Neodiprion lecontei: one gene and its partner. Each later gene encodes a partner of the first gene's protein in a complex. Links are inferred from orthologs where the notes say so. Each region holds a gene or a part of one and is shown on either strand. Other genes may lie near its edges.

Region 1 (5,144 bases):
TAATTATTGACTGCATCGTGTTAAATTATTTCAAATTAATACTTGATAGTGATATTTAGAAACTTGTTTTCCCTGCTATTGGTAACGAACTCTGTACTCTCTTATTAAACCGTGCGTAACTAAGAGTTCAAAACGTGAGCTGAGATTTTATACCACTTGAAGGCGATGACGCCACGTGATGTGTGCGCGTCTCTCGATTGCGATTTGAACTTTGTTGACCTTGGCACAATGCGGAGATTCTTAGACTATGTCAATGAAAATGCGACTGAAATGCAATAATTTATCAGTTAATGGAGATTACACTGTGTTAGTGCATTGCGGAATGTTATTCACATCTGCGATAACTTGAAATCGCTTTTTCAAATGAAATCTTTCCTTTCCTATTAGTCAAAAAAATATTTCATTCCATTACCAAATGCTTGTACTATTTTATATAATCCATTTTGCTTGCAGCATCTTGTTTGGCTAATGAAATTTAGTTTTATATCTAATAACAGTACACTGATAAATTCGCAGGATATGAAAGAATTTTATTGACATGGTCTATGGAACATAACATATTACAATCTAAATATGAAGTACATAAAACTGGAAAATTGCAGACAATTCACAATTATGGGAATCTTAAATTTACAACATATTGGTAATTGGAACACATTTATATAAGTTGTATTTTCTCTGGCGAATGTGTATTCTTTCGTGATAGTCTTTTCATTCAGAAAAGTCATGTGAAACTAATTGTAAAACTGCTACAATTGTATTCAGAAACAAAATAACCACGTCGAATCTAAAAATTTGTTCAATAATATTCGAGTCTCAGGATTAACAACGCAACACGTTTATTTCATGTATTTATCTTTATGCTGTGTCAGGATTTTAGCCGATGATTTAGCATCCAAAAACAAAGCTCCGACTTCCTCAACATCTTCTTTCTTAATCACAGTTCTTCCATTAACTTTGGCAGTTAATGCAGCTGGTGTAAGCAACTGAACGACATATCTTAGCGTTGTCCTAGTTCCAATGTCACCCAGAGTTTGCAAAGCTTCGTCTTCAACTTGTAAGCCTTCCGTCGTAGCCCGCAATTTAACAATCTGTTCAATTTCCTTTCTCGAGTATGGCAAAGTTCTTATGATTAGTAATCTATCGAGTAAATCGAGTGGTATTCCATGTGGCGAAGCAATGTCTTCTGTGCCTCTGATGATGCAACGACCACGGTTTGTTGCAAATATAACTATTGGAGCAATTGCACTTTCTAAAGCACGATGGAGATATGTAAATGTCTCAATATCCAGCATATGTACTTCGTCTATGAACAGAACTCCAGGTACCAGTTCTGCGATACCCTGATCGATGTACTTGTTCACAACTTTGTTTATTTCCTTCCGCAGTTTATCTGAAAATATACATGTAACACATTTAAAAATAGAGACTCATCCGGTTTGTAAAGTGTCACTCAATTTTTATCATCTGCAACTTTTCTTTTGAGAAGTTCAAAATATTCGGTGACAATTCGATGAGATTCAGAACTGTCTGTTGCTAAGGCATATAACTACAGTAATCAATACTTGAAGTTTGATCAATACAATACTGATAATGATTACGAGAAAAAAATATATTTCTAAAAGAAATCTGCACTTAAGTAATCAAATTTTACCGGTGATTTCAGTTTTCTTGGGCTTCATGAGTTGTCCCATCATTGACATGATGTCCTGTCCTCCTTGTGGTTTAGAGTTAGCGACATCTAAATCATGCAGCGTGACATCCTGGATAACTTCTTTCTTTTTGTGGACATCACCTTTGGGCAAAGGCACGTATTCCTCTGCTTCCAAGTCAAATTCCGTTGCGAAATTGTCACTACGTCCTTGTCGTTTCACAGCCCCGCTATTTGCCTCGATATAAATTACATCGCCGGTCTCAACCTTTTCTTTTTGGAGAGATTCGTATATAGATGGATCAAGTTTCAACTGTTTTGTTCCTTTAGCAGTTTTTAACCCAATAACCACATGGGAAACTGTCTTTCCATAACCGCCCATTGGGTTCTCAGTTTCCACAGGCGTCAGCTCCGTTACTTCACCTTCGTAGACTTCTTTGGTTTCTTTTATTCGCAACCCAATAGCTCGTCTAAAATTTTCCATAAGTACCTCTGTTTTTTTTATCTCTGAACTATATACTTCGGAACCAACCATCGGACAAAATGGCACTTTGTTACCCAGTTCCTGCGCTATTGCAAGGGCAACTGCTGTTTTCCCTGTTCCAGGTGGTCCTGCAAGCAGGACTGCTCGCCCAGCCATTTTCTTCGATCTTATCATATCGACGACAACACCAGCAGCCTGTAGAATTAATGTCATTCAAGAATGAGGTAAAAATAAAATAATTCTCTGTAATGAACAATTGGTTATTATAACTCAAGCTGTGGGTTAGCGACAATGATCAATTTACAAAGGAAAGAAATAATTGATGAAATAGTTGTTTCAACAGCGGTTGAACAAATCAGTGGCACTGGGCAAGAAGTTTATTATATCATTCAGAACGGTAAGAGTATAAATACCCAAGTATCACATAGATTGTTGAGTTTATGAGATATTTCTAAACCGTTGTTAAATCTGATATTGTATTTTGCTTTTTGGAGTATGTAGTTTTCAGTGATGTGAGGTTAGGTTAGATTGTACGATGTTGTTTTGATATATCTATAAGACGACGACACGAGAAGGAACGGGTTTGAATTTTAAATAAAAATGAAAACACAGGCACACAACATTAAGTTCAAACGGTATCCACGGGTAGAAGTAGGTGTGGAATAAATAATTGAAAATTTTTTTTAACCTCTCTTGCCATTTCTTGACCGACGAGACCGGCAGCCATCTGAATCGCAATACCATTCTCGTCAAGACCGAGACCTTTAATATGCGTGTGTGCAGAAATTCTCTGGGTTTTTGCCGTACTTTTCACCTCCTCAATCTTCATTATTGATAATTAAATAAATTTTGCAAAATTTCAAGCAATTTCAAGTCTCTCACGCGGCGTGCGGTGTTACTACGTTCTACGTTTGTTTGCCGCGGTGAATTATGTTTTCACCGTTTTCATGCGTCGGTAGGCATGTGACGTACATACGACATCATCCAATCGGATTCATCCCATTAAGTTATGCCTTTTACCAACAGATGTCTGCAGCTTTTTACATCAATCTCGCGAGTACTATGATCTTCCTACATTCAGTATATAAGCCCAAATTGCAGCTAAACCGTCGGGTCCGATTTACCTGGGATAAAAGCTAATAAATCAATATAATTTGACAGTTTCATTACATTTCTTTGAATACTGCACTCAGTGTTCAGCCCTAGGTATGACTTCGACCTGCTTTTGCAATAATTTTTAATTTTAATGCTATTGGCGAACAGAACACACTTTTTTTCACCCAGTTTAAATATATTTGAGAAAATAGGGTGAAGGAAAAAAAATTTGATTGGTCCTAGGTGGGGAAAATTGTATTCAAAGAATTCAGAACAGATTGGACATATTTTGAAACTTCTGTTATATCATCATCATAAAAGATCTATTTGTTCAATATTCTTAGGTTTCAGTAAGGGAAATATTAAATAAATAATAAAATCGGCACATTGTATCACAATTTTCTTTTTATTATTTTTCTGTTCAAGTGCTACGTCTTATAAAGTGGCTTGCCTTCTTCCAATGTCAAACGTGAAATATTCGATATGCCGTCTTTCATCTGTAAACAAAAAGACCATATTTGATTAAATTTCACACCGTAAATTTACCAGCACGGTGAAAACACATACTTGCCTTGACTCGAGCATATAATACAATTCCAATCAACGTCAGAGTAATTCCGATAGCCTGATTCAGTGCAAGTGATTCGTGGAATATAATAGCGCCACCAAGTAAAAGAAGGCAAAATTTTGAATGTCCAACCATATTATAACTGGAAAACTTTATGTAAGAACATATTGAGAATTGCTGTGCGCATGGCAAATAAATTGGGTAGATAATAATTTTTCATCGAATTAAAAAATTTCATTTAAAATAACAATTCCTTGTTTGAATAAGGATACGTTAATGGTGATGTGTATCCTATTATCCAGTACGATGTTAAGTTCACAAAAAATGCTACGACGCTCGATAGCAGCACCATCAGCTGTGGAAATAAAAAAATTATCCCTTTAGTTAGCAAATGTTTAAACTTTAGTATTGAAAAGTAGTCAAAGTGTCTTTCAACTTACAATATCTGTAAATGTCCAGCTATGCTGGAGGGTGTTACCAATGGGTTCCAGAAATGGTACGATCACAAACAGCATTGCTGCAGATAACGGTGCTTGATAATAAAGGAGCTGCATAGGATCCATTTGGAATTCCTTTTGCTTTCTGCTGACCCACTGGAAAAAATGTGCAAAACCATGAGCTTCAAGTATGAAACAGGTTACGGAATTCATCATAAAGCAGTGAGAGTTATCCTACTTACAACTTGATACAGAGATGTAACAATAACACCTAGAGTAGCGTAAATAGTCCCAAGAATATTAAACCTAATGTCGTAATAAAAGTTGATGACAACTCCAGCTATGATGGGTATTAATGTTAGTTTAACAAGCAAACCGAATTTCTTTTTATAACATATTGCCTGCATAACAACGACGCAGGGGGTTGTAAGCATTTTAGTAACTTGATAAGTGCCGATCGTGTTGTGTTCCAGACTCAGATTAGTAAGGACAACAAACCCACAGAAAGTTAGGGCGATAGGTACCATTTCTTTAATGGCAACATCTTTTATACAAAATACATCCAATTTTTCACAAATGATTAGCCCAAGAAATGTTATTGCAAAGTGTATCATGGACAGGGTGACATTTGGAAATCCAATCCTCACGTACACCATTTTATTTAACAATACAATAAGTATTGAAAAAAATATATTTAGTACTAAGCAGAGAAATGTTAATACTCTTTTGTTCATTTTCTCAGACTATTATTGAGATCTTTATGGCGCGATAAATATTCTCTGACATTTACGTCACCGGTTACAGGTTAGGTTGAGCATCTTTACTTCATCCAAGTTAGGGTTATGTATTCAATTGTATATGTTTTGTCGAACACTGCTGCCATCTACCGGGGTTTCCATGACGACGAAA
Region 2 (7,222 bases), on another chromosome or scaffold:
ATTGTATCCGTGTAACGCCGCCCGTTAGGTTTACAGAAACCCCAGTCAATGTTGTCAGGATCTTTGAAATCTACTTGTAAATTGTGCCACCCATTTGAGTGTATCATAATAGTGCTGTTCTTGCATGCGGCATCATAACATGCGGGTAGAATCAGGTCCATTTTGCCAGTGAGCTCGACGTCCAAGAATAAAGATTGACCAACGACGGCGAAATTATGCGGCAAGCTGATGTTTTGATGAAGAGTGAAGTTCTCCTCGCTTCCCAGCCAAATTTCAAATCCATTCTCCGTTGTTATAAATAAATCAGGCATAAAATCGCCATTGTAATCTAGAAACGCGTTGGAATGTGGTTTTCTTATGAGCGCAAAGTTATCCCCATTTTTAGATTGCATTTTTACAACTGCTGGTGAAGTTCTATTCTTATTGAATATCCAAAATGTTCTTGTTTGATTTGCATCAAGTCCAAACAAATCAATAATCATGTCTTGGTTGTAATCGATGGCTAACGGCTGTCCAAACATCACAATTACTGGATTCGACTCAGGTGTACAATTCAACTGCCCGTTTCCGCCCCACAAAATGTGTCCGTAGGTTAGACCGTCCTTTATCGTTGTTACGAAAACATCCATAAATGCGTCACCATCAAAATCCCCAGGCACAATGCTGGTCACTGAATTATTAAAGGTACACTTTAAGCCTACCCCAGGCCTCAGGAGAGGCTCTTGCTCGGCTGCCAGCATAATTTCAACGGATTTACCATCCGTGTCGATCACAAATACATCCGTCAATTCGTCAGAGTTGAAATCGCCAAACGCTGCAGGCATCTTGTCCAAAATTTTTCCATATACCGTTGATGTTATGTCGCTGCATCGTGCGACAATTAAAAAATTCGAGATGAGGTAAACAAATAAAATTGCCTTGCCCATTTCGATAGCTTTACATAGTCTGCAATGAAAAAAAGATACGCAGTAATGAGTCATCTGCTTATTTAATTTCTTTTCAGTTTGTGGTTTCTATGCCCATCTAAGCTATTTACATTTTATTGTAATTCTGTCAATTGTATGTCACAAGTTTTACTTGCAATGCGAAGCATATGTAAGTATCAAGGAGGCAGGTAATGATTTATGTTTACTCAATAAACATAAAACACATTTTTATCAGAGGTTAGAACTTCTCGATATTTTACTTATTCTCACCTAGTGGAGATGTCAAGATGTTGTATTTCTTTATTTCTGAAGATCAAAGACGATTGATTGAATTTTGTTGCAAACAGGAATCTGTCCCTTGTATTTCCTTATTCAAGCATACAATATTCTATTAACGGGTACTGCATAGTTCTTAAATGGACTTTTGTCATACTCAATTGTCAAAATAACACACCCAGGTACATGTAATCGAAACAGCCGTCCGGAAAATGATCTATGCATGTATGTACGTCTTTTTCTATCTCGTTGGTTTTGAAGGACATGTATAGTTTAAAACAGCTTCAGCTTTGCCACTACAGCACAATTTAACTAAATGTAGTGCTTTTTTTATAACGAAAATAGGGGATTGCCTGCAGTGTTCTGAATTCTATCAGTTATCTTGTATCTCTTTTACACTATCAAGTCGACCATTGGCTCTCTCTCTCGCTGTCTTACAAAGTTCTTGCGCATCAGTCTGCGCAACTTCAGCACTGGGCTGTATTCTGTGTGGTTGCATTAGCGTATTGTATTTCCCGGTGGTAAATGAAAACTGAGAAGTGCACGAAACTGAACGAGAATTGCGGTACGTTTTGTATCAAAACATGAATGACCAAGAAACTCAGTGAATTGTTAATGAGACACACATGTAAGAAGAACTAGTAGCAACATGGCATCTGCACAGGACAGTAAGTTATCGCCTAGACTCTGTATATTCACTAATTTTGCCGTTTCGTTTACTCACAGTTTTTAGGTTAGAGTACACAAACGACTTATTATTCAACTGTGTACGGTGATTTCACGGTTTTATTTGTCACAAAACACTGATTAATCCTAGTATTTATTTCTTCGAAATCATTTAGACTAAATTTACAGATGGAGATTTCCACGCGAAACCGATTTTATTTGTGTATTGCAAACATAACCACAATATCATTCGAATTGGATGACAAAGGCGATTGATACTTTACCAAGCTTTTATTTTTAACTGTATTCCAAATTGGACTGATGTTTCGAGAATCTTTATATTTTCCAGGTTCAAGCCGTAGTTATAGACAACCATTTCTCCTTTCAGTTTTTTTACTCACACATATTTTGGAAACAAAATTTTTAAATCTCTAATTTTCACACACCAACAAGTTTTTCTTGTATTTCTAAAGCATTGCCAATCATCACTGAAGAGAATCAATGTATCTATGTAAGAAATTAAACATGATAATCATTGGAGACATGCTTGAAAGTACAATTTACTTTTGGAGATACTTGCCAAGTCTTAGTTAAATGGATTGCTGTTCTTGCATGGAAGTCTCCAGAGATGATTATTCCTCAACTATTAATAAATTATTGCAATCGTAGGGATGAAAGTAAAACGTGTTCCGTACGATACATGGAGCACAAGAGAGCAGCTATGCTTGGCTGCAAGCGTATTGTATTCTGGGGAGAATGTTCAGAATTGGAAAGCCGTGTCCGAATCATTGGAGCCGTTTGCTGAAAAAGAAGCATTGCGACCACCTGATTGGTTTTCTCAAAAGTCTTGTGCCGTTCAATATTCACACTTGTTGGAAACAGCGGATACTCCGAAAAGGAAAAAAAGGGAGAGCGGAGAAACGCAAGCTGAATCCATAGTGAATCGATTAACACAGGAAAGAATTGCGGAACTGAAACAAATTCTTGCGTTTCAAAGAGACGAATATCAGCAGCTCAAAGCGGAAGTAAACCTTTTAAAATGCGGCCCCTTATCCGACGATAAGCTGCAGAAAATGTGGCAAGTCATTGAACAAGAAGAACGGGAACAGGAGCAAAAAGTCAGAGCATACGCCGCATGGCTAACCAAACGACAACAAAAGCAAGAATCTATGATAACACCGCCACCACTTGTCCACCGAAAAGCGGTAGACAGTGTGATGGAAAACCATGATGCTTCTGTATCGGAGTCATCGAATAATGACGAGGATGAAAAGAAACGAGGGGGCAGATCGCCGCTCCTGACGAGCTTATTAAAGTCCACCAGCCCAACGACTCAAGTACAAACACCACCGACGCCAACAAAAGCTAGCTCCCCTACCATAGCCAGTCTCCTAGTTTCGAGTCCAAAGGTCCCGAGTTCCCAGCTAGATCGTGGTCTGGCACAAAATGTTTCTTCCCAATTGCAGCAATTGGTCTCTACCGCAATAGCAAACGCGCCACCCGAAAGACCTTCAGCTGGTGCGCCAACGCTTTCTATGCTTTTGGAATTGCCGGCAAATCCGCAGCGTGGACCGTTACCAAACTTGCAACCGTCCTCTACGGTAACAACGCAGCTTAGTATGCCTCCCGAAATTCATTCTTCTCTACCAACCAACGCACCGTCAACATCCGAAGGTGTTTTGCAAGTAATCAATCCTCCACCGCCGGTATCGGTATCTCAGAACATCCCGGTAACAGAGAGTATGGTACAGATAATAGACCATATAGACGAAGTTATTGGGAAGGATATAATGGCCGACGTTATTGACAAAGATGAAATAAACGAAATCATTGGAGATATTGAGGAGCTGATCAAAGAGGAGATCACTTCAAGCCCAAGAACGAACGAGACTCCATCCGCGGCCACTGTTGTGGAACCATTGACTGTACAAACGGTTCAAGAAACTGTCTCAAAGCGTCCCGAACCTCGCCCGAAACCTCGTCCAGAACCTCGGAACGTCGATGAGCCAGTATCATTGTCGGATTCACCTGAAAGTGAACTAGCAATAGAAGATATCGATTCAAGCACGTCAAATATCGCGGAAATCATTGGAACCGTAGCTGTAGAATCTACGGAGTCGAAAATAATGGTCACTTGCCAATCGCCGAAGGTTGAAGAGAAAGCCAAATCAGAGGCTGGGGATGCGGATGAGGAAAACATGGGTAACGAATCGTTAGCAGAGGAACTTCGGAATTCCCCTTATGAAGGAGACGATACTACCGAAGAAGTGGAGTTGAGTCCCAAAAGCGAAGGAAAAGAGTCTGAAAGCAACGAAAACACGCCGACGGATACAAAAGGGTCGGAAGACCGGAATATGGAGAAGAGTGCCACACCAGAGGTGACGGAAGACGCGATAAAGGAAGAAACTGACCTCATCGAAGCTGAGAAGGATACAACAAGCGACAGTACAAGTGATGAGAAAGAGCCTGTTCAGGAATCGGAGATTAAACAAGAACCGCAAATAGATCAACTGGAAATGGATCTTGCTGAGATAACCGGGGACCCACAAGACAAATCGGCTGAGGCAGCGCCCGCCAGTGTATCGTCCGAGACTTCAAACGATGGAGCTAGTGCAGAGGAAGCGGAGAAATCTCAGGACATAAGTCTGATTTTAGAAGATGACGAAAGTTCGCAAGGGTCGCAAAACAAGGACAAAACACCTCCTCAAGAACAGGTATCAGATATGGTGGACACTTTTGAGTCGTGTCCTGAGGAATCCACCGTTTCAACCGAGGAGGAACCTGATGTGGTGGTAAAAGTCACCGAGAACGTGCCAATCGTCATGGACGAATCAACAACTGAGTCCAAGGACAATGTTTCGGAAGAAATGGAAAAGGAAGAAGACAAGAAGGAGAGCTTTAAAGACTCTATCGACGTGATAGTTCATCAAGTCAACGACAAGGTGGCAGAGGTAGGCGGCGTATCAGGGACTGATCCAAATCCTCCTGTTATACCGGAAGCTGTGGAGGTTGTGAAAGAAGAAGCTCCAGATGTTCTGGAGCCCACGAAGACCGAAGAGTCAACATTAAAAGAGGAGGCAGAGAAAATGGTTATTGAGAAAACTGTGGAAGCAGAAGAACAAAACAAAATTAAAGTCGAAATTGATGCAGAATCTGTTACGGAGAAGAACGACGAGGTGGCAAGAGACAATGAAATGCCAGAGGATAAACCGGTAATAAAAGAAACCTTGGAACCTGAACCAGATGTCAAAAAAGAGCCGGTCACTGGAATCGCAGACGATGGAGACCTTGACGAGGAGGAATCTTCGTTGAGTAAATTGAGTGGTGGTCGCACCATGAAAACCTACTCCAAGAGGCCGGTTGTTACGATAGACAGTGAACCAGAGAATGAAGGAAGTGGGGAAGGTGCCGATTACCGTGCTTGGAAGAAAGCTGTTATGTTGGTATTTAATAGACTGGTCACACACAAATATGCGTCTGTATTTCTGAGGCCCATCACGGAAGATCAAGCGCCGGGTTATCATTCGGTCATTTTCCGTCCCATGGATTTGTCAACCATTAAAAAGAACATTGACAATGGAACCATCAGGTCTACAATGCACTTCCAGCGAGATGTTATGCTGATGTTCCAAAACGCCATTATGTACAACAAACAGGATACATTTGTCTACAAAATGGCTGTTTCCATGCAAGAAGAATGCTTGCAACACATGCAGGTGTGTTTACGAAAATATTGTATTAACCTGTTTTTGGTATTAGTCAAAGCTTAAGGGGATATAGATATATACGAGCAGACAGCTGCAAAAGCAGGTAAATTTTGCGGATTTATATCTCTACAATTCTCTATTCTCAACATTCGAGTTTTGTTTCTTTATTGAATAAAAAAAATGATCAACAATGAATGAAAAATCGAATCTCAACTTCAAATGGTCGCCGTTTTGTCGGAAAGAAAAAATTTCGAAGGGTGTTGCGATGTTGTCAAGTTTGATGTGGAAGGATGCATAACTATGCGAAGTAATTGAGAGTACGAGTTACCTGTCTTATGCTGTTCCAGAAAAGAGAAAATACTTAGAATCAAAAGAAAGTTTCAAAAGAGGATTTGTTCTTTAAAATCAGTACGTGTTGTACAGCATTCCAATCAACGGCGATAAATTCAATTCCAGATGTAAATATTCAGTTTAAAAAAATATCTTGCAAAGTCTTTTCTCGGTCAAAAATAAGAAAATGACTTATCTTTACAACTGACAAATATTGGATAGACTAATGCTTGGCAGTCAGCCATAACACTCAGCACGGTAGTATATCTGGGCATGTATCTCTGACTTGGATTTGGCACGGGAGTAACCCACGCCATGAATCATTTTTATTTGAAGCCTGGAAACTTGAGATCACTGATTTAGTGCTTTATTTTGCCTTTCGACAGATATTAGTACAAGTCACCGGCGAGGGACCGTTTAGAAGAGAAACAAGAACAGCTGCTAGCAGTAGTAGCGATTTTGGCGATTCGTCTGCAAAACCGCAGCGAAAAAGAAGTCACATAACTCCTAGCCCACATGACTCTGACAGTGCACGCACTAAGAAACGAAGAAAATCGGAGAACGATTAATACGTTCAAACAGTCAAGTGTCGATCTGTTGCTTGATAATGTTTCACGTATATCGTGTTCAAATTCCTTTCACCAACTTGTGGACAAAGTTGCTAGCTTGCGGCCGGTTGAAGGTACAAAAACATTATCGGGAAAATTGCACTGTCCACAGTACTGCAAGGTGTTAAAGTGTAGTACGCCTCATGGACAATATGTCACAACTGTATATACCATAATATAGAAGAATTATCTCCACAACTTGTGTTACATTTTTTATTGATTCATAATATTCTGATATCAGCCGTCGAAAAAGGATTTTTCCTCATTAATATGAACCATGGATATTTCAATTATTTCAATACTTGTGAAAATTATGAAAGCGTACTTACATTGATTCGAATTCTGGCCAACGATTTTCGTGATTTTTTCTATTGCATCGAATGCTTCTAAAACGGAACGAGGTAATTGTGAAGTGAAGAAATTCCATCTCTACATATCGAACACCCTTCATAGTTTCGTGACCACAAATGTCACAATTCATGAAGCAGTGAAAAAAAAAAGAATCAACAGAAGTTACTCTTAAATACTGATTTTGGCAGACCATAAGATGACTCTAGGACATGTCAAAATTTACAAGTTTCTCTTACTAATGACTGAAAACCGAAAATAAAGTTTCTACAGTAGTGAACAATTGTTTAATAAATATATTCTGAGATATGGGTGACCATGCTAGAGGAGATTGTAAAAACGCAATCTGCAGCTCCGAAGA

Evidence for each region. The genes of interacting proteins can lie anywhere in the genome.
Region 2: ruvB-like helicase 1 (region 1) and bromodomain-containing protein 8 share a complex: the UniProt entries of both Homo sapiens proteins name them as parts of the nuA4-related complex. The link is inferred for Neodiprion lecontei from reciprocal best matches to the Homo sapiens genes RUVBL1 and BRD8.

Annotation. Positions count from the first base shown.
Region 1 is NC_060263.1:38,142,511-38,147,654, forward strand, and holds ruvB-like helicase 1, read right to left. Parts: upstream 3,079-5,144; 5' UTR 2,965-3,078; coding exon 2,824-2,964; intron 2,331-2,823; coding exon 1,655-2,330; intron 1,394-1,654; coding exon 840-1,393; 3' UTR 510-839; downstream 1-509. Other genes in the region: glycine dehydrogenase (decarboxylating), mitochondrial, read right to left, coding at 1-16; solute carrier family 35 member E3, read right to left, coding at 3,659-3,727, 3,802-3,940, 4,071-4,153, 4,239-4,391, 4,478-4,969. UniProt on the Homo sapiens protein: Possesses single-stranded DNA-stimulated ATPase and ATP-dependent DNA helicase (3' to 5') activity; hexamerization is thought to be critical for ATP hydrolysis and adjacent subunits in the ring-like structure contribute to the ATPase activity.
Region 2 is NC_060266.1:5,248,929-5,256,150, reverse strand, and holds bromodomain-containing protein 8, read left to right. Parts: upstream 1-1,666; 5' UTR 1,667-1,851; coding exon 1,852-1,870; intron 1,871-2,537; coding exon 2,538-5,584; intron 5,585-6,291; coding exon 6,292-6,474; 3' UTR 6,475-6,711; downstream 6,712-7,222. Other genes in the region: T-cell immunomodulatory protein, read right to left, coding at 1-945, 1,381-1,427; uncharacterized protein LOC124295608, read left to right, coding at 7,170-7,222. UniProt on the Homo sapiens protein: May act as a coactivator during transcriptional activation by hormone-activated nuclear receptors (NR). Isoform 2 stimulates transcriptional activation by AR/DHTR, ESR1/NR3A1, RXRA/NR2B1 and THRB/ERBA2.